Oryctolagus cuniculus: one gene and its partners. The protein of the gene in region 1 purifies or fractionates together with the protein of each later gene. This does not show direct contact. Links are inferred from orthologs where the notes say so. Each region holds a gene or a part of one and is shown in the gene's direction. Other genes may lie near its edges.

Region 1 (5,372 bases):
ACCCTGGCTGCCGTGCGGCCCGGGCCCCTCCTCTGGACACTCTTGGCCCAGACTGCGGCTTGCGGTCCCCCCGCGGGGTCTGGGGCAGAGGTCAGGCGCTGCCTGAGCTGGGAAGGCCGTCTCCGTGCCACGCCGTGGCCTGGCTGCTGCTGGGCCGCTCCCTGCACGCCTCTTCCACCGAGACCCCAGGGCAGCCGCCAGCGCGGGAGCGGAGGCGCCGCGGCCCCAGGACCCAGCGTCCCCTGCGGGCCCTGTGACCACCACGCAGCCTGGCTCTGGAGGCCCCAGGGCGGGCCTGTTGTGTTTTGTAAACAATAAAGCCACAGAGGGGAACTGTGTTCTTCCTGCCTCCTGGTCTCCCTTGACTCTTCAGCGGGGTCTGCCCTGGGGAGCACCCAGCCTGGTGGAGTGGGAGGGGCTGGGGACGGGCTGCTCCCCCACGGGACACCTGTCAGGAAGGCCTTGGTCGCACAGGCCTGAGGCGGGAGGAGGCTGGCTCTGGGCACCCTGCAGCTCCGTGTAGAAGTCACTGCTCTGCCGGTCCACTTCCTCCCGCGTGGACCAGAGCGGTCTCAGCTTCCCGCCCGTGGCCCATCCAGGTGGGGGTCGGCGCCTCGCCGCGCGTGTGCCCAGGCCTCGAGGGCGGCTTGGGCGGAGTCTGACCCAAGCCTGCCTGGCGCTTGGCAGAGAGCCTTGGCCTTGGAGACAGAAGTGGCGGTGAGGGGTTCTGCCTCCAGCTGTGGCCGTCCAGGCCTGCGGGCCCCCGGGGGCTCAGATGAACCAAGCAGGGGAACAGCCACGGGTCCCACCCAGCGGCTCCCAGAGCTGCCACGTGCTGACAGGGCCCCTGCCTGCCCCCGCCCCCTGGGAGTGCGTGCAGCTCCAGGTGGTTCTGTTCGGGGCCCTCATCTGGGCCCATGGGACGCAGGAACAGAAGCCAGAGATAGGGGGCCAGCATTTTGGCTCAGCTGGTGAAGCCGCCACCCATGAGGCCGGCATCCCATGTGAGTGCCAGTTCGAGTCCCGGCTGCTCCACTTCTGATCCAGCTCTCTGCTGTGGCCTGGGAAAGCAGTGGAAGATGGCCCAATCCTGGGCCCCTGCACCCGCATAGGATACCGGAGAATGCTCCTGGCTCCTGCTTTAGATCAGCTCAGCTCTGGCCATTGTGGTCGTTTGGGGGAGTGAACCAATAGATGGAAGACCTCTGTCTCTCTCCCTCTCTGTCTCTCCCTCTTTGCCTTTCAAATAAATAAATCTTTTTAAGAAAAGAAACCAGAGGTGATGTTGATCGGGTCACTGGGCCGCTGGGCCCAGGACCTCACACCCAGCGTGGTGGCTCAGGGCGCCATCCCCTGAGAGGACGCTGCTCCCGCTGGGCTGTCTGGGCGCACAGCCCTCCCCGACACCATCCCTGCGGCCAAGGGCGCCCTGGGACCTCGCAGCTGGGGATGGAGGCGGGGGGGGGTGGTGTGTGCTGGGCGGGGCCATTCGTGTTCCCGTTAGGGGAGTGACCGCTCTGCAGTGTGGGTGGTCAGCCCAGCGTGGACAAGGCCAGGCCCTGGTGTCAGGTACTGGGGCAGCTCCAGCTCAGCCACGTGCCGGCCGCTTTCCTGGTCTCCCAGGGCTCAGGGCCCCCTGCCCGACTGCCTGCGGGGGTCAGTGCCCTGCAGCCTGGCGGGGTGTGGGCTGCCCACCCAGCCAGCAACGTGCTGGGCCCAACCCTGCCAGGACACAGCGCTGCCGTCTGCCCCAGGGCCTCTGCTCCGCTGTCCCAGGCTGGCCTTCGTGTTGTGGTCCTGCCCCTCGCTGTAGGTCTTGTTGTCAGAACTTGGGTGGCTGCCATCCCCACCCCCACAGCCAGAGCAGGAAGGAAGAGGGGGCCTGGCCAGCAGAGCTGCAGCCAACCCCAGCGGAGGCTGCAGTCAGGTGGTTTGTGGGAATCGAAAGTCGTCCCTGTTCCCTGGAGCACTTCCTGGGGCCGCCCCTCCACACTGCAGGCTGGGCCTCCAGCAGAGGCGGGAGCCTCCCGCACAGCCACCTGTGCCAGGCAGGTAAGCCCCTGTCTACGCAGGCAGCCAGCGTGGGCCACACTGCAGGCACCGGGCCTGGAGCAGGGCGCCCCGGGCTCCCGAGTCCAGGGACCACCCCCGCCGCGCCTGGGCCCGCAGGGCCTCTGTGTGTGGTTGTTCCCTGCACAGGGACCCGGCCGAGGCAGGAGGGGCCAGCGTTGAGCCCTCAGCCCTGTCTTGGGCCTGCGCGTCCCCGCCCGGGCCTGGCCCCAAGGCCTTGTTCTCACCTGCACGACAGCACCGCACGGAGGGCGGCGGCCACGTGCCAGGGCCTCGCGTGGCCCCCATGTCCGGGGCCCTGACTTCCTGTCCCCAAGGGAACAAAGCCGGCCCTGCAGCTCCCTGGGAAGTGGGGCAGGGACAGCAGGTGGCCCTGGCCCTCCTGCCCGTGAAGGGCGCGCGGAGCCCTTGGCTTCCCTGGACAGCAGCCCCTGCACGGTCGTTGGGGCCAGGACAGCTACTGTGCGAGGGGCCCTGGGTGACCACGTAGTGCGGGCAGCCACGCCGGGCCCCCCACAGACTGCTGCACTGGGTCCCAGCGCTCGCGCAGCAGTGAGGAGCCGGGCCTGCCTGGCGGGTGTCCAGGCCCCCGCTTGTAGCCAGTGCTGCTAGTGGCCACCGCGGGTGTCCCAGAGAAGCAAACGCTGGCTCTGCCGGGGGCAGCAGGGCGGGCGGGGACGGGGGTGGGAGGTGCCCTGGGGAGGACCCCACGGCCTCTCCCAGCCTGTGTGTCCTGGGGACCGGAGCCGAAGTCCACGTCGTCCCCCTCTGGCCTCCCCCCAAGGGGCTCTCAGACACGCCCGTCTCCCACGGAGCTGCAGGGAGAACCCGCCAGGCAGGGACTCCCTCCCCCTCCTCCCCGACCCGAGCCCAGCCTCTCTGGGGCCCGGATTTCACTCCTGTCGGAGCCCCTGCCCTGCCTCTCACCTCCCTTCCCCTCTGCCCGCCTTGGGTGCCTCTGGGGCTCTGCCGCGCCCTGGGCCCCCGGCTGCGCCTCCCCCTCCCTCGCCCCTGCCTCTGGCCCAGGCTCACTCTGCCTGCAGCCCAGGCACAGCCCCCCCCAGGCATCCATGGCACAGGTCGCCTTCTTGTTCATCATGGGGAGATCTCGGGGGGGGGTTGCGGGAGGGGGTCCCTGTGTGCCCCGCAGCGGAGTGGAGGACGGGTCGGGGTGCGGGCTCACGCCGCTTCCTTCTGCTGCAGGGTCAGGGCTCCAGGGAGGCCATGGCCCCCCCACGGCTCTTCTGGGTGTGGCTGCTGCTCGCCGGGACTCGAGGTGAGCTGAGCCCGGGAGGTGCCCAGGGCCGAAGTCCACGCGCCTGCTGCCGCCCTGCCCCGCGGGGTCAGGGTCGGGGTTGGGGTCGGGGTGGGCCCCTCCTCCGGAGAGCTGGGAGGTGCTGGCCAGGTCTCTCCTGCCTCAAGCCAGGCGGTACCCAATGAGGGTGGCTTGTGTCTTCCGGGGACCCCGGGTTCTGGCTTTGGGGGGATGGGGAGGGGACCCAGGAACTCTGTCCCCAGTGGGGATGGGGGCAAGCACATAGGCCGGTGGCGGGGGTGGTCGTGAGGCCAGCAGCCTCTGGACACAGGCCAGGCCTCCAAGGGTCCTGGACACCTCCCTCCCCCTCCCCCTCGCCAGTCCTGGAGCCCATGGACGCCCCTGCTCGGCTGCCCTCGAGGGCCCCCACCCAGTCCTCTCTGGGGTCCTGCCCCTCTTGTCCAGTGCTGGAGAGCACCGGTTCCTCGTCCGTGTCCCTGTCCCTGTCCTCAGCTCCGGCCACGCGGACCAGGGAGACAAGTCAGCCTCGCGGGCTGGGGGCGGGGTCTGCACGGGTGTCACCCAGCCAGGGTGGAGGGCGCTTTGACGTGAGGGACCGGCCAGCCTGACCGGGGAAGCCCTTACAACCGCCGCGCTGCTGGGTGGGCGCCGCGTCCAGCTGACCTTTGCCCTCTCCGCAGGCGAGAAGGACGGGGACATGCGGCTGGCCAACGGGGACGCAGCCAACGAGGGCCGCGTGGAGATCTTCTACAGGGGCCAGTGGGGGACCGTGTGCGACAACCTCTGGGACCTGACGGACGCCAGCGTCGTCTGCCGGGCCCTGGGGTTCCAGAATGCCACCGAGGCTCTGGGCAGAGCCGCCTTCGGGCCAGGTGGGGCTGCCCATGCCCAGCACTGAGACAGGCCCGCTGCAAGGCCTCTGGGCCTGTTCCCTCTGGCCGCTCCGTGCTGGGCCAGTCCCCTCTGGGCCTGATCCTGAACCGTTCCCTCCCGAGGAGAATCTGTGGGCAGGAAGTGCCCGCTCCCCGCTGACTGAGTCTGGAAAAAAAGGGGAAAAACCCAAATTCGCAGCGGCGGGGCCCACAGCGTGAGCCAAGCCCAGGTGTTGGCCGTAAGAGATCCAAACCCACGCTGGACCGGCACCGTGGAATAGCCCGGTCCGAGGCCTGCATACAGGGGACGCACGCTGCAGAGGCGCGGGAACCCCAAAAACCAGCCCCCCGTTTTCTGAAAAGTCTCCTCCAGGGCAGGTGTGTGGGTCCGTGGATCAAGCTGCATCCCAGCCCGAGTGCCGCCCCGCCCCCGTCCAGTCCAGCTTGCAGCAGGTGACGGCCCACGTACCCAGGTTCCTGCCACCCTGTGGGAGACGCAGTGGGCGCTCCTGGCCCTTCGGCCTGGCCCAGTCCCGGCTGTTGCTGCCATTTGGGGAACGAACGGGAGGTTTCTCCATCTCAAATAAATAATACTTGAGCATTTTTTCAAGTGAGCGACAGAGGGAGCTCCCGTTTGCTGGTTCCGTCCCCAAATGCCCGAAATCTCTGGGCCAGGGCTGGAGCCGGAGGCCAGGAGACAATCCAGGCTTCCGTGTGCGTAGCCCGAGCCATCGCTGCTGCCTGCACGGGCTGCGTTGACAAGCAGCTGCCGCCCCGGCCACGGGCCCGGCGCCTGCTCACGCCCCGGCCCTGTCCACTTTGCTGCGCCGACAGGAACAGGCCCCGTGATGCTGGACGAGGTCGTGTGCACAGGGACGGAGTCCTCGCTGGCAGAATGCAGGTCCCTGGGCTGGCTGAAGAGCAACTGCAGGCACGCGCAGGACGCGGGCGTGGTCTGCACCAACGGTGCGTGTGCGCCCTCCAGCCCGGGGCCCCGGGGTGCTGCCCACCCACAGCCCACGAGGGGCCGGGCGGTTGGGAACCGCACCTGCTCCACAGTCCCTCCCGGACGCCACGACGGCTGACGGTGGCGTCAGCTCGCGGTCTGAGACCACGACAGCTCTCGCACTTGCTGGGTCAGCACTGGGGCCTGT
Region 2 (4,751 bases), on another chromosome or scaffold:
CCAGAGGATGCTACCGAGAGGGGCACTAAAGCCGGGACGAGGCGGGTGTGACCACGAGTTGCATCCCGCAGGTCCCGGGAAGGCTGCTCTTCTCCCTGGTGAAGCACTATCTGCATGTCACCTCCCTCCTGGATCAGCTGAACGACAATGCTGGAGAATCGGGCGCCCAGAACAACTCTGCTCCTGAAGACTTGAGTGGGGACAGGGCTCGGCTGGAGCTGGAGTACAGCATGGCCATGGGTACCCTGATCTCAGAGCTGGTGCAGGCCATGCGCTGGGACCGGGCCTGGAACAGACCAGGGAGCTCTCCACGGTCCCCCTGTTCCATCTTCCAGCCTCAGGTGGCGGATGGGGACCCTCAGCTCCCACCCACCGAGGCTCAGCCCGCCCTCAGGCGGTCAAGGCGGTTTCGCCCTCGCTCTCAGTTTGCAAGCGGCAATACCTACGCCTTGTATGTGCGGGACACGCTGGAGCCGGGGATGCGCGTGCGGATGCTGGATAACTTCGAGGAGATCAGTGCTGGCGATGAGGGCGAGTTCCAGCAGAGCAACAGCGGTGTGCCCCCTGCGCAGGTGGGTGTGCGGTGCCCAGTGATGGGACACTGCTGGGGACCTTCTCGGGATGAGGGAGCTCCAGTGGACTATCCCGGGAGAGAATCCTCAGGAAGACCAAGGTGGTGACAGGCGTCCGCACTGGAGAGGGAGGATGTGGTGTCTGTGTTTAGGAGACGAGACGGCAAGGCTCCCTAAGAGGTCAAGATTAGAGAGATGGGGTGCTTGAGGCCAGGAGGAAGTGTCGGGACAAAGGCCATCAATGAACAGGTGAAAGGAGACCCATCCCCCAAAGGAAAAGGCGTCCTTTGAGTGCATGTATTTGTTCTATGGAGATTTTTCCAAACCTGACCAAGCGGTCACCCTAAGGGCTTAAGTCCTCATCGCTGGATCACACCCGGTCATCCGTGAGCCCTCTTCCCTCTCCCTCTCACTTTCCCCCATCTCGCAGGTATTCTGGGAGTCGACAGGCCGCACCTATTGGGTGCACTGGCACATGCTGGAGATCTTAGGCTTTGAGGAAGACATGGAGGACATGGTTGAAGCTGATGAGTACCAGAGGGCGATGATCAGTGGAGCTCTGGATCGAGGTGAGCTCAGGGAGGAAGCAGGGGTCAGCCCGGAGCCGAGAGGCAGTCTGGGCTGGGTGACATCCTGTGCGCGTGGCCCACTTCCACAGCCCTGCCCTCCTTGCGCTGGAAGCCCATGACCGAGCTCCATGCTGCGCCTTATGTGCCGCCCGAGGATGAGGATGCTGAGGAGAGGGAGCACCTGACCCAGGCTGAGTGGTGGGAGCTCCTCTTCTTCGTCAGGAAGTTGGGCGAGTCTGACCACCAGGATGTTCTGCAGCTCCTCCAGGAGAACCTGGATGGAGAGGTAGAGACCCCTGGAGGCTGGAGGGCTGCACTGCGAGTGCTGCACTGTGATAGAGCATTTGGGAGGCGCAGGGTGGGCAGTGGGGTCTGGAATGTTGGGAGGTGGAAGGAGTGGGTTAGCTTTCTGGGAGGAGCCAGCTGCCAGCCATGAGAGGTTCACAGTGAGGGAGGGGTGTGTATGCAGAGACCCCTGGCCCTGCCAGGTCGCCCTGAAGCCTGGGAGTCCTCAGGGCTGCCTGCAATGACGGCTTTCTCTCCCCGGTAGCATATTCTGGATGACGAGATCCTGGCCGAGCTGGTAGTCCCCATAGAGTTGGCCCAGGACCTGCTGCTGTCTCTGCCACAGAAACTTGATGACAGCGCCCTTAGGGACCTGCTCAACTGCCGTATCTACAGGAAGTATGGGCCCGAAGCCCTGTTAGGGCAAGTGGCCTACGCATCCTCTGTAGAAGCTGAGCGAGATGTCCTGCTGGAAGCCCGGGCCCCGCCCCAGGAATCAGAAGACACAGCTAGAGCTCAAGGTAGATGCAGACAAAGATAGCAGCTGTGCAGATTTGCTTTCGGAGGGCACTGGTGCAGGAGAACTGTCTGTGCTAATAGTTGCGCAGCGCTGTCTGGGCAGGATGGCCTCTTAGAGGGCAGGCATTGTGGTGCAGCAGGTTAAGCTGCTGCTTAGGGAGCCTGCATCCCATGAGTGCCAGTTCAAGTCCTGGCTGCTCCACTTCCAGTCCAGTTCCTTGCTAAAGTGCTTGGGAAGCAGGAGATAGTCCCTCCAAGTATTTGAGTCCCTGCCACCAACAGAGGAGACCTGGATGGAATTCCTGGCTCCTGACTTCTGTTGTGCCCATTTGGGAAGTGTACGAGTGACAGGAGATCTCTGTCTCTCTTGCTCTGGCTGTTGCTTACTGTCACTCTTTGTCTCCACATCACCCCTCCCCACCACACCCCGCCTATCACTCTGCCTTTCAGATAATTAAGTAAATGGATGAATCTAATTTTTTTGAAAAAAGTGGCACTTTAGGAAGAATTTGAAACTTGGAGATCATAACAAATGAAGTAGATGTCTTCCCATCAAAGAATGAAGGAGGATGGAAAGTTAGAAAATTGTAAGAGATGTTTGCAACCTTGAACAAGCCCTCAGGTGGGAATATTTGGTGCAGAGGTTAGGTTACTGTTTAGGATTCCTTCATCTCCTGTTGAAGCACCTGGTTCGAATTCCAGCTACTCCATTTCCGATGCAGCTTCATAGTAATGCATACCCTGGGAGGCAACAAGGGATGGCTGAAGTACCTGGGTGCCTGCTACCCCTCTGGAGAGACTGGATTGAGTTCCAGGCTCCTGGCTGCAGCCTGCCCTAGCTGTTGGCAAGCATTTGGGGAGTGAACCAACAATGGAAGATCTCTCTCTTTGTCTCTCTGCTTTTCAGATAAAATGAAAATAGATAAAAATCAAGAAAAAATTAATTGTTCTTTTGCATTTTTTAAAAAAACATTTATTTATTTGAAAAGCAGAGTTAGAGGGAGAGACAGAGAGATCTTCCATCCAGCAGTAGCCAAAAGCCTCATCTGGGTTTCCCACATGAATACAGGGGCTTAAAAGATTTATTTATTGAGCCGGTGCTATGGTGTAGTGTGTTAAAGCTCTGACCTGCAGTGCCAGCATCCCATGCGGGCACTGGTTTGAGTCCCGGCTGTACTTCTGATTCAGCTCCCTGCTTATGCACCTGGTAAAGCAGCAGAGGATGACCCAAGTGCTTGGGCTCCTACACCCATGTGGGAGACCTGGAAGAAGCTCCTGGCTCCTGGCTTTGGCTGGCCCAGCCCCAGTCGTTGTAGTCATTTGGGGAGTGACCCAGCAAATGGAAGACCTCTGTGTAACTCTACCTTTCAAAAATAAAACAGACTTTAAAAAAAGAAAAAGTTTATTTATTTAGAAGAGTACAAAGAGATCAATCTTCTGTCTGCTGGTTCACTCCTCAAATGGCCACAATGGCTGGAGCAGGGTTGATCCAAAGCCAGGAGCCAGGAGCTTCTTCCGTGTTTCCCACATGGGCGCAGGGGCCCAAGCACTTGGACCATCTACTTCTTTCCCAGCCCATAGCACAGAGCTGGATTGGAAGCAGAGCAGCTGGTCTCAAACCGATGCCTATATGGGATGCTGGCACTGCAGGTGGCAGCTTTACCCACTACACCACAGCGCTGGCCCCTAGCTCCAACTTTTTGTGGCAGAGAAAAACTGTTTGCTTTTAAATCTAAGGACATGGTCTGATGATTGTAAGCAGAGAGCTGCTTAGCTACCTTAAGAATACAGAATATAACATGTTTTAATGACATCTTGTAAGATGAGATCTTCAAGCCTAACTTTTAGGGAGACAAATCAAAAACATTTTTCGGAGAAATGAGAAAACATGATTGAGAGTTGTGACTCAGTCCTTTTGTGATCGCTGTCACTAACAGTGGCCAACCCTTGCGGCTCCTCCTCTCCCGCAGCCAAAGAAGCCCCTTGTAAGAGCCCCGAGTCTCCTCTGCAGCGTCTGGCAGAGGATTGCGGCCCCACTGGGAAAATCCTCCTGGATCTGGAGCAAGCCCTTAGCTCAGAGAGCAGCCGGCAGCATGCGGTCCCACCCTTACTGCTGCAGCTCCAGCGTCAGCCCCAGCCCTTCCTCGCACTGATGGAGAGCCTCGGCACGCCAGCCACCAACAGAGCCCTGCACCTGACTGCTCTGAGGTCAGGGGGTGTGAGAGGCAGGGCTGGGCAGAGGGGTCAGCGTGTGGCTGCCTGCACATCCGTGTCCTCTCAATTCCCCAGAATCCTGAAGCAGCTGGTGGACTTCCCCGACGCACTGCTACTGCCCTGGCATGAGGCTATGAGTGCCTGCATGGCTTGCCTGCGGTCCCCAAACACCGACCGAGAGGTACCCCCACCCTGCTGTGGGATATGCTGGGAGGGAGAACGCCCGGGGCTGCCGCTGGTGAGCCCGACACCCCGGGCAGCGCTGTGGGGGACACGACGGAGCCTTTGTGCTCTTGCATTGAGTTGTGTTTTTAAAATTGAATTTTATTTTTTTAAATAGGTAACACACTCACACGGTTCACAAATCAAAACGATGTAACAAGGTATACATTGAGCGTTCTTGCTCACACCTGCCATCCTTATTGCTAACTGCTTGTGTTAACTTAGGTACCCTTCCTGTGTTTCCTTGTGCAAATATCAATAAACCCAAGTGTGCAGTCTCACTTAGCGGCCCCTTGCTTATACCAGAGAATCTATATATGCTACATGAAAGCCTTAACGATGCTCTTGTCGGCCCGGGGCGTGGGAGAAA
Region 3 (4,243 bases), on another chromosome or scaffold:
ACGAGCAGTATGCCTGGGAGTCTTCTGCTGGGGGCTCCTTCACCGTGCGCGCCGACCACGGTGAGTGGCCGGGAGGCGCTGCTTCACAGGGCGAGTGTGCAGCAGGCGGTCCTGGGGCAGCTCGCTCACCGCCTGCCCTCCTGGTCTGCAGGGGAGCCTATTGGCCGAGGCACCAAGGTGATCCTGCATCTCAAGGAGGACCAGACTGAGTACCTGGAGGAGAGGCGGGTCAAGGAGGTGGTGAAGAAGCACTCGCAGTTCATAGGCTACCCCATCACCCTCTACGTGAGTATGCTTCCCGCGGAGGCAGCCTGCCTGTGCTTCTGGTGGGCTGGGCCATTTGCTTGCCCTGAGGGTCGGTGCTCAAAACTGACGAGTGTTTCTGGGTGCTTTAGTTGGAGAAGGAAAGAGAAAAGGAAATCAGTGATGATGAAGCAGAGGAAGAAAAAGGGGAAGAGAAAAAGGAGGAGGAAGATAAGGAGGACGATGAGAAGCCCAAGATCGAAGATGTGGGCTCCGATGAGGAAGATGACAGCGGCAAGGACAAGAAAAAGAAAACCAAGAAGATCAAGGAGAAGTACATCGATCAGGAAGAACTGAACAAGACCAAGCCCATCTGGACCAGAAACCCTGATGACATCACCCAGGAGGAGTACGGCGAGTTCTACAAGAGCCTCACCAATGACTGGGAGGACCACTTGGCAGTCAAGGTGAGAGGCCTTGGGAGTGGGCCGGGGTGGAGAGGCAGGGGGTAGCCCAGCTGAGAACCGGGAGCATCGCTGATGGCCCTGCCCGAGGACCTGGCTTTCTCTCCTGGTGGAAGTTCAGGATTTTATGCAGCTGGGACCAGCGTAGGTGTGTTTAGGGCATTAGGAATCATGTCGCAAGTGCTTGGGGGACGATAATTCCAGGTTGGAGTCTAGTTGGGACTGAAGGGCACCCTGGGCCTGGCGCGTCCTGCTGGCTTACCTTGGGTCTCCTGTCGCAGCACTTCTCCGTGGAAGGTCAGCTGGAATTCAGGGCTTTGCTTTTCATCCCTCGCCGAGCTCCCTTTGACCTCTTTGAGAACAAGAAGAAGAAGAACAACATTAAGCTGTACGTCCGCCGTGTGTTCATCATGGACAGCTGTGATGAGCTGATCCCAGAGTATCTCAGTGAGTATGGCCTTGGCCCGGTGGCGTTGGAGGGGGCTGCAGGCTTCATCCCAGATAGTGGTCCAGGGAGAAAGCCGGACCTCGTGTGCGCATCCGGGTGGCTCTGTCCAGTCTGGCCTGGTCTTGACCAAGCTGCCGCACTGCCTGGTTGCAGACTTCATCCGTGGCGTGGTCGACTCCGAAGACCTGCCCTTGAACATCTCCCGCGAAATGCTGCAGCAGAGCAAGATCTTGAAAGTCATCCGCAAGAACATCGTGAAGAAGTGCCTCGAGCTCTTCTCCGAGCTGGCGGAAGACAAGGAGAACTACAAGAAGTTCTATGAGGCCTTCTCCAAGAACTTGAAGGTGAGGAGCGAGTGGCTTTCTCCCTTGGGGCACGTTTGGGTACGTGGTAAGTGGGTCGTTCAAAGTTCTAGCCCAGCTGATGGTGGTTTCTCTTCCCGCCCTTAAAGCTTGGCATCCACGAGGACTCCACCAACCGGCGCCGCCTCTCTGAGCTGCTGCGCTACCACACCTCCCAGTCTGGAGACGAGATGACTTCGCTGTCTGAGTACGTCTCTCGCATGAAGGAGACACAGAAGTCCATCTACTACATCACTGGTGCGTGCGCGTCTGGGTCTGAGGCGGGCAGGGGCTGGGCAGGGCAGGGGCATTCGTGTCTGAGTCCCATTGAATGACCTTGCAGGGGAGAGCAAAGAGCAGGTGGCCAACTCGGCTTTCGTGGAGCGCGTGCGGAAGCGGGGCTTCGAGGTGGTGTACATGACAGAGCCGATCGACGAGTACTGCGTGCAGCAACTCAAGGAGTTCGACGGGAAGAGCTTGGTGTCTGTGACCAAAGAGGGCCTGGAGCTGCCTGAGGACGAGGAGGAGAAGAAGAAGATGGAGGAGAGCAAGGCGAAGTTTGAGAACCTCTGCAAGCTCATGAAGGAGATCCTGGATAAGAAGGTTGAGAAGGTGAGCACCTGGGGCTCAGGTGTTCCGCACTCCTTTGGAGGTGCAGCTTTGCGTGCTTGCTGTGTGTGTCAAGATTCAAGGGCAGGGTTGGAGAGGGCACAATGGCTTGGGGTAAGCCAGGCCAAGGAGCCTGGAACTCCAGGTCTCCCTGGGAGGTGGCAGGGGCCGGAGCTCTTGGGCCATCTTCCTAGGCACATTCGTAGGGAGCTGGCTCTGAAGCGGAGCAGCTGGTGATGCCAGTGGCCCTGCAGTGAGTGGTTTTATTCAGGAGTTAGGTGTGAGCTGTCTCTAAGGCTTGGCAAAGATGTAAGGCTGACCTCCACACACACCTGAGGTTTGCTGGCTGTTTGCAGGTGACAATCTCCAATAGGCTCGTGTCTTCGCCCTGCTGCATCGTGACCAGCACCTACGGCTGGACAGCCAACATGGAGCGGATCATGAAGGCCCAGGCACTTCGAGACAACTCTACCATGGGCTACATGATGGCCAAGAAGCACCTGGAGATCAATCCCGACCACCCCATCGTGGAGACGCTGAGGCAGAAGGCCGAGGCGGATAAGAACGACAAGGCAGTCAAGGATCTGGTGGTGCTGCTCTTTGAAACTGCGCTGCTGTCCTCCGGCTTCTCCCTGGAGGATCCCCAGACCCACTCCAACCGCATCTATCGCATGATCAAGCTAGGCCTAGGTATGGAGTGAGCAGTGCCTGGGTTCCGGGTGGGGACACCCTTCCCTCCCTCCGTGCTGTGTGGTTGGAACCTCCTATTTTCTGTTTCCTAGGCATTGATGAGGATGAGGTGGCAGCAGAGGAACCCAGCGCAGCTGTTCCGGAGGAGATCCCCCCTCTCGAGGGAGATGAGGACGCCTCCCGCATGGAAGAAGTAGACTAGGAACTCCTCGGAAACTCCTGCCCTCTGTATAGTGTCCCCGTGGCTCCCACAGCAGCCTTGAGTGGCCCTGTCCCACCTGGCTCCCCTGCTGATGTCTAGTGGTCTCTCTCCTGTCCTGTGTCTTATGGCAGGAAACAAAGGCCTCAAGCCCCATCCCCTCCTTAATTTGACAATGGGGTTGGATGTTGTGTATTGTGGGTTTTTTTTGTTTATTTTGTTCTGAAATTAAAGTATGCAAAATAAAGATGACGCCGTTTTATACAGTTCTGCTCTCCCTTGTAAAGTGGATGCACTGCTTTTGGTGTCCAGCAGTTGTGAGCACAGAGGGCTGTGCTGGTGTTGCTCACCCCAAAGCTAAGGGGGTAGTGGGGGTGCCCACCCTGCAACCCTGTCCTCCCAACCCCTTCAGTCACCTGACACACAGGACTTGTCCACTGCAGCAATTTAATAAAATTATAAAGAGCAAAACGACATTTCCAGAGTACCAAAGCCTGCACTAGCTCACGGAGCCAGCTCCCTCAGCACCCTGTCACCCGCCTTGAAAAGCAGCACTTGGCGCCCCAAACACTTGTGCTGTGCTTTTCCCCACAGTTAAACGCAGGTGTGGGAGGGAAGTCCCCGATGTAGGGGCTAAGCACAGGTGAAGCGCTGGTGACAACAGGTAGGCTCGACACCCCCCCAAGCCCCTCAGGAGGGCTGTCAAACAGGTGACTTAAGGCCAAGGGGAAGTCTGCCTCGGGCTCCCCGCCCGCCAGCTGCACATTTTGCCCTAGAGCCAGTGCCACCAAGTAGAGGAGAGCCTGGGTGGTGGGCGGGGCCCCTCCTGCCTCAAACCTGCTGCACTGGGGCCTCCCCAGGCACCACCTTCTTTCCCCTCTGCTTTAGTCGCCCCCGGGCGTAGACTCTGAGCAGGAGCGCAGCGAAGACCACAGCCACCCCCAGCCCGCCCACCACAGTGACCGTGTGGCCATAGAGGAGGCAGGAGAGGAGGATGGCAAAGGCCTGGCGCAGGGTCATGATGATGGTGAAGACCGCCGCCCCGAACTGGCCGATGGTGTAGAAGATGAAGAGCTGGCCGCAGGCTGAGCACACCGACAGCAGCAAGGCGTGGGCTGCAAACTCGCTGTGGCGCCCCATGAAGCGTGTCCCCTCCAGGAGGGCCCCCTGCTGCAGCAGAGAGCCGACCGTGAAGAGGCAGGAGAAGAGGTTGACGCCGAACATCATCTGCACCGATGACATCTTATAG
Region 4 (4,751 bases), on another chromosome or scaffold:
TGTTGACAGGTGTTTAGGTTGATTCCATGTCTTAGCTATTGTGAATTGAGCTGCAGTTAACATGGAGGTGCAGATAGCTCTGTTTTTGCCAATTTCATTTCCCTTGGGTAAATTCCGAGGAGTGGGATGGCTGGGTAGTAGTAGCTTTACCAGATTGCATTCCCATCAACAGTGGATTATGGTACCTTTCCCCCACATCCTCACCAGCATTTGTTGTTTGTTGATTTCTGTATGTGAGCCATTCTAACTGGGGTGAGATGAAACCTCATTGTGGTTTTGATTTGCTTTTCCCTGACAGCTACTGATCCTGAACATTTTTTCATGTGTCTGTTGGCCATTTGGATTTCCTTTTTTGAAAAATGTCTGTTTAAGTCCTTGGCCCATCTCTTTTTTTTTTTAACTTTTATTTAATGAATATAAATTTCCAAAGTACAGCTTATGGATTACAATGGCTCCCCCCCCCCATAACTTCCCTCCCACCCACAACACTCCCCTTTCCCTCTCCCTCCCCCCTTCCATTCACATCAAGATTCATTTTCAGTTCTTTTTATATACAGAAGATCAGTTTAGCATATATTGAGTAAAGATTTCAACAGTTTGCACCCACACAGAAACACAAAGTGAAAAATACTGTTTGAGTACTAGTTATAGCATTAAATCACAATGTACAGCACATTAAGGACAGAGATCCTACATGAGGAATAAGTGCACAGTGATTCCTGTTGTTGACTTAACACTTGGCCCATCTCTTAAGTGGGTTGTTTGTTTTGTTGTTATGGAGTTTTTTATCTCTTTGTAGATTATGGTTATTAATCCTCTATCAGTTGCATAGTTTGCAAATAATTTCTCCCATTCTGTCAGTTGCCTCTTCACTTTTCTGTTTATTCTCAATTTGATGTAATCCCAGTTATTAATTTTGGGTTTGGCTGCCTGTGCCTCTTGGGTCTTTTCCAAGAAGTCTTTGCCTGTGCCAATATCTTGCAGGGTTTCTCTGATGTTCTCTAATAATGGTGTCGTGGATTAGATCTTTAATCTATATTGAGTAGATTTTTGTGTGAGGTGTGAGGTACGGATCTTGCTTCATATTTCTGCATGTGGAAATCCAGTTTTCCCAGCACCATTTGTTGAAGAGACTGTCCTTGCTCCAGGGATTGGTTTTAGCTCCTTGATCAAATATAAGTTGCTTGTAGATGTTTGGATTGATTTCTGGTGTTTCTATTCTGTTCCATTGGTCTATCCATCTGTTTTTGTACCACTACCAGGCTGTTTCAATTATATCTGCCCTGTAGTATGTCTTGAAATCTGGTATTGTGATGCCTCTGGCTTTGTTTATGTTGTATAAAATTGCTTAAGCTATTTAAGGACTCCTATGCTCCATATAGATTTCAGCATTTTTTTCTAGATCTGAGAAGAATGTCTTTGGTATTTTGACTGGTATAGCATTGAATTTGTAAATTGCGTTAGGAAGAATGGACATTTTGATGATACTGATCCTTCTAATCCATGAACATGGAAGATTTTTCTATTGTTTTGTGTCTTTTTCTATTGCTTTCTTTAATGTTTTATAATTCTCATCATAGGCATCTTTTGCATCCTTAGTTTAGTCCAAGGTATTTGAATTTTTGGTAGCTATTGTTAATGGGATTGATCTTAGAATTTCTTTCTCAGCCATGGCTTTGTCTGTGTAAACAAAGGCTGTTGATTTTTGTATATTGATTTTATATCATGCTACTTTACCAAACTTGTCTATGAATTCCAGTAGTCTCTTAGTGGAGTTCTTTGGATCCCCTAAATAAAGAATCATGTTGTCTGCAAATAGGGATAATTTGAATTCTTCCTTCCCAGTTTATATCCCTACGATTACTTTTTCTTGCCTAATGGCTCTGGCTAAAACTCCCAGTACTATATTGAATAGCAGTGGTGAGAGTGGGCATCCCTGTCTGGTACTGGATCTCAGTGGGAATGCTTCCAACTTTTCCCCATTCAATATGATGCTGGCTGTAAGTTTGTCATAAATTGCCTTGATTGTGTTGAGAAGTGTTCCTTCTAAGCCCAATTTGCTTAGATCTTTTATCATGAAAGGGTATTTTATTTTATCAAACACTTTATCTGCATCTATTAAGATAATCGTATGGTTTTTGTTCAGAAGTTTGTTAATGTGTTGTATCACATTGATTTATTTGCAAATGTTGAACCATCCCTGCATACCAAGGAAAAATCCCACTTGGTCTGGGTGGGTGATCTTTCTGATGTGTTAATTGAATCATTTCGCTAAAATTTTGTTGAGGATTTTTGGGTCTATATTCATCAGGGAAATTGGTCTGTAATTCTCTTTCTCTGTTGCATCATTTTCAGGTTTAGGAATTAAGGTGATGCTGGGTTCATAGAAAGAATTTGGACGGATTCCTTCTCTTTCAATTGTTTTGAATAACTTTAGAAAAATTGGATTTAGTTCTTTAATCATCTGGTAGAATCATCCGGTCCTGGGCTCTTCTTTGTTGGGAGCGCCTTTATTACTGATTTAATTTCCATCTTGGTTATGGGTCTGATTAGGTTTTCTGTGTCTTCATGGCTCAATTTAGGTATGTTATATGTGTTCAGGAATCTGTCCATTTCTTCTAGGTCCAAGTTTGTTGGCATACAGCTCTTTGTAGAAACTTCTGATGATTCTTTTATTTCTGTGGTATCTGTCATTACATTTCCTTTTTCATCCCTAATTTTATTGATTTGAGTCTTCTCTCTCCTTTTTTTTTTTTTTTTTTTTGTTAGTTGGGCCAATGGCATGTCAATTTTGTCTGTTTTTTTAAAAAACCAGCTCTTTGTTTTGCTGATCTTTTGTATTTTTTTATTCAATTTTGTTGATTTCTTCTCTAATTTTAATTATTTCTTTTCTCCTTTCACTTTTGGGTTTGGTTTGCTGTCCTTTTTCTAGATCCTTGAGGTGCAATGATGGCTCATTTGTTTGGTGCTTTTCTAATTTCTTGATGTAGGCATCTATTGCTATAAACTTTCCTCTTAACACTGCTTTTGCTGTATCCCATAAGTTTTTGATATGTTGTATTGTCATTGCATTTGTTATCAGAAATTTTTTGATTTCACTTTTGATTGCTTCTATAACCCACTATTCATTCAGGACCATGTAGAGCATATGAAGCAGTTGTGTTTTTTTAAGACCTCTTGGTCTTACTTTCACTACTTCCAATTCATTGCTATGAATCGAACAGGAATTGTCTCCCCAAATTCATGCAGACTTTTAAACTCCAAAATCTCATATTAGCATTTAATGGATTAATTAAGGTAGAGGTTTGATCTTGCTGCAGTGGCTGGGACGTGGGCCCAGTGGGAGGTCCTTAAGTCATAAGGATCTTGGACAATAGTTCTCAAAAGAAAGTTGATTATTTAGACCAAGTTTGGCCCAACTCTCCCTCTGCTTCCTGGCTCCCTATATACATATCTACTATTGCTAGCCTCTACCTGATGCCAGACTAATGGGACCAACCAGTCTTGATCTGTGACCCCTCAACTGTAAGCCAAAATAAACCTTTTCTTTCCCAAGAATCTCTTCTCAGGCGTTTTAGTTAAAATAGCAAAAAGCTGACTAATACACACTTACAGTGTGTCACTCATGTCAGAGTTGTCCTTTCTCTGCTGTCATCTAAATGTTTTCCTCTTTAGGCCTATTTTGGTGGTGAAGCTCGCTGTGATGCTGAAGCTGGACAAGGGGATGACTATGACCCCAGAGAGCTCATTTGTGGTGCCTGCTCTGATGTGTCAAGGGCTCAGGTGAGCAGAACATTTTATTAAAAAGGATAGTATAGAAACATTAAAATTATATTTTTTAATAAATATAAAGCCAGTATTGTGGAAAGTTAAACCAGGTTTTTTCCCATAGTGTTTTCTGATATTTGTAACACATTGTACTATTTTTTAAAATTATTTTATAGATACATTTCCATGGATGGTATTTTCATTTCATAGTTTTGTTTTCTGTGAAATGGTCACCATATTTGAACAAGGAATTAGCGTATGTGTCACATTTTCTCAAGCTTTTTAGGTTTTCTCTTCTTCAAGCAAATCTTCACAGTATATCTGTACAATTGGGAGAGAGATGAAATAGTATTAAATTTTCAACTTGAAAGACCAGGAAATATTCACAAGGAAATTGAGTAGTTGATGGAGATGGGTTCAGAACATGGGGCTTTTTCCAGACAACTTGGGCTTTTGCAGGCTATGTATGCTCCCAAATAGGAACTAATGAGCTATGTATATGACTATCCCAAGTAAAATTGAAATAGTCTCACTGTAATATTGAATCTGTCTCTCTCTCTCTCTCTCTCTTTTTTTTTTTTTTTTTTTTTTTCTATAGATGTGTCCCAAACATGGCACAGACTTTTTGGAATATAAATGTCGCTACTGCTGCTCAGTTGCTGTCTTTTTCTGTTTTGGAACAACACATTTTTGTAATGCTTGTCATGATGATTTTCAAAGAATGACTAGCATTCCTAAGGAAGAACTACCACACTGTCCTGCAGGTATGCTTTTAATATTTTAAAATCAGAATTGTGATCTCTAAGGGTACTTCAAAAAGTTCATGAGAACATGGAATTTAAAAATAGGGGTTTATTTTGGTGCAGAAACATTTCTGGGGCAAAAAAAATTGGCTTTAAATACATGGAAAAATGTGCATTATAAAAAACCTGTGCTTGGATTTCAAAACATTTATTGTGCCCAAATATTTGTAAATTCAGTTT

What was found.
Region 2: the proteins of LGALS3BP (region 1) and CUL7 purify together in Homo sapiens (affinity purification with mass spectrometry; 3 studies listed by BioGRID and IntAct, with this or other methods). This does not show direct contact. The link is inferred for Oryctolagus cuniculus from reciprocal best matches to the Homo sapiens genes LGALS3BP and CUL7.
Region 3: the proteins of LGALS3BP (region 1) and HSP90AB1 purify together in Homo sapiens (affinity purification with mass spectrometry; 3 studies listed by BioGRID and IntAct, with this or other methods). This does not show direct contact. The link is inferred for Oryctolagus cuniculus from reciprocal best matches to the Homo sapiens genes LGALS3BP and HSP90AB1.
Region 4: the proteins of LGALS3BP (region 1) and MYCBP2 purify together in Homo sapiens (co-immunoprecipitation; 3 studies listed by BioGRID and IntAct, counting the BioPlex papers as one, with this or other methods). This does not show direct contact. The link is inferred for Oryctolagus cuniculus from reciprocal best matches to the Homo sapiens genes LGALS3BP and MYCBP2.

What each region holds. Positions count from the first base shown.
Region 1 is NC_091448.1:2,762,956-2,768,327, forward strand, and holds the start of LGALS3BP (galectin-3-binding protein), read left to right. Parts: upstream 1-1,898; 5' UTR 1,899-2,052; intron 2,053-3,273; 5' UTR 3,274-3,294; coding exon 3,295-3,346; intron 3,347-4,026; coding exon 4,027-4,218; intron 4,219-5,052; coding exon 5,053-5,184; intron 5,185-5,372.
Region 2 is NC_091436.1:126,972,249-126,976,999, forward strand, and holds part of CUL7 (cullin-7), read left to right. Parts: intron 1-71; coding exon 72-572; intron 573-1,002; coding exon 1,003-1,141; intron 1,142-1,230; coding exon 1,231-1,427; intron 1,428-1,691; coding exon 1,692-1,947; intron 1,948-3,915; coding exon 3,916-4,153; intron 4,154-4,234; coding exon 4,235-4,340; intron 4,341-4,751. UniProt on the Homo sapiens protein: Core component of the 3M and Cul7-RING(FBXW8) complexes, which mediate the ubiquitination and subsequent proteasomal degradation of target proteins. Core component of the 3M complex, a complex required to regulate microtubule dynamics and genome integrity.
Region 3 is NC_091436.1:125,879,130-125,883,372, reverse strand, and holds the end of HSP90AB1 (heat shock protein HSP 90-beta), read left to right. Parts: coding exon 1-60; intron 61-151; coding exon 152-285; intron 286-395; coding exon 396-710; intron 711-988; coding exon 989-1,154; intron 1,155-1,308; coding exon 1,309-1,499; intron 1,500-1,606; coding exon 1,607-1,754; intron 1,755-1,839; coding exon 1,840-2,108; intron 2,109-2,461; coding exon 2,462-2,795; intron 2,796-2,887; coding exon 2,888-2,997; 3' UTR 2,998-3,045; exon of another isoform or gene 3,046-3,082; 3' UTR 3,083-3,260; downstream 3,261-4,243. Other genes in the region: SLC35B2 (adenosine 3'-phospho 5'-phosphosulfate transporter 1), read right to left, coding at 3,826-4,243. UniProt on the Homo sapiens protein: Molecular chaperone that promotes the maturation, structural maintenance and proper regulation of specific target proteins involved for instance in cell cycle control and signal transduction. Undergoes a functional cycle linked to its ATPase activity.
Region 4 is NC_091440.1:35,418,215-35,422,965, forward strand, and holds part of MYCBP2 (E3 ubiquitin-protein ligase MYCBP2), read left to right. Parts: intron 1-3,675; coding exon 3,676-3,783; intron 3,784-4,366; coding exon 4,367-4,532; intron 4,533-4,751. UniProt on the Homo sapiens protein: Atypical E3 ubiquitin-protein ligase which specifically mediates ubiquitination of threonine and serine residues on target proteins, instead of ubiquitinating lysine residues.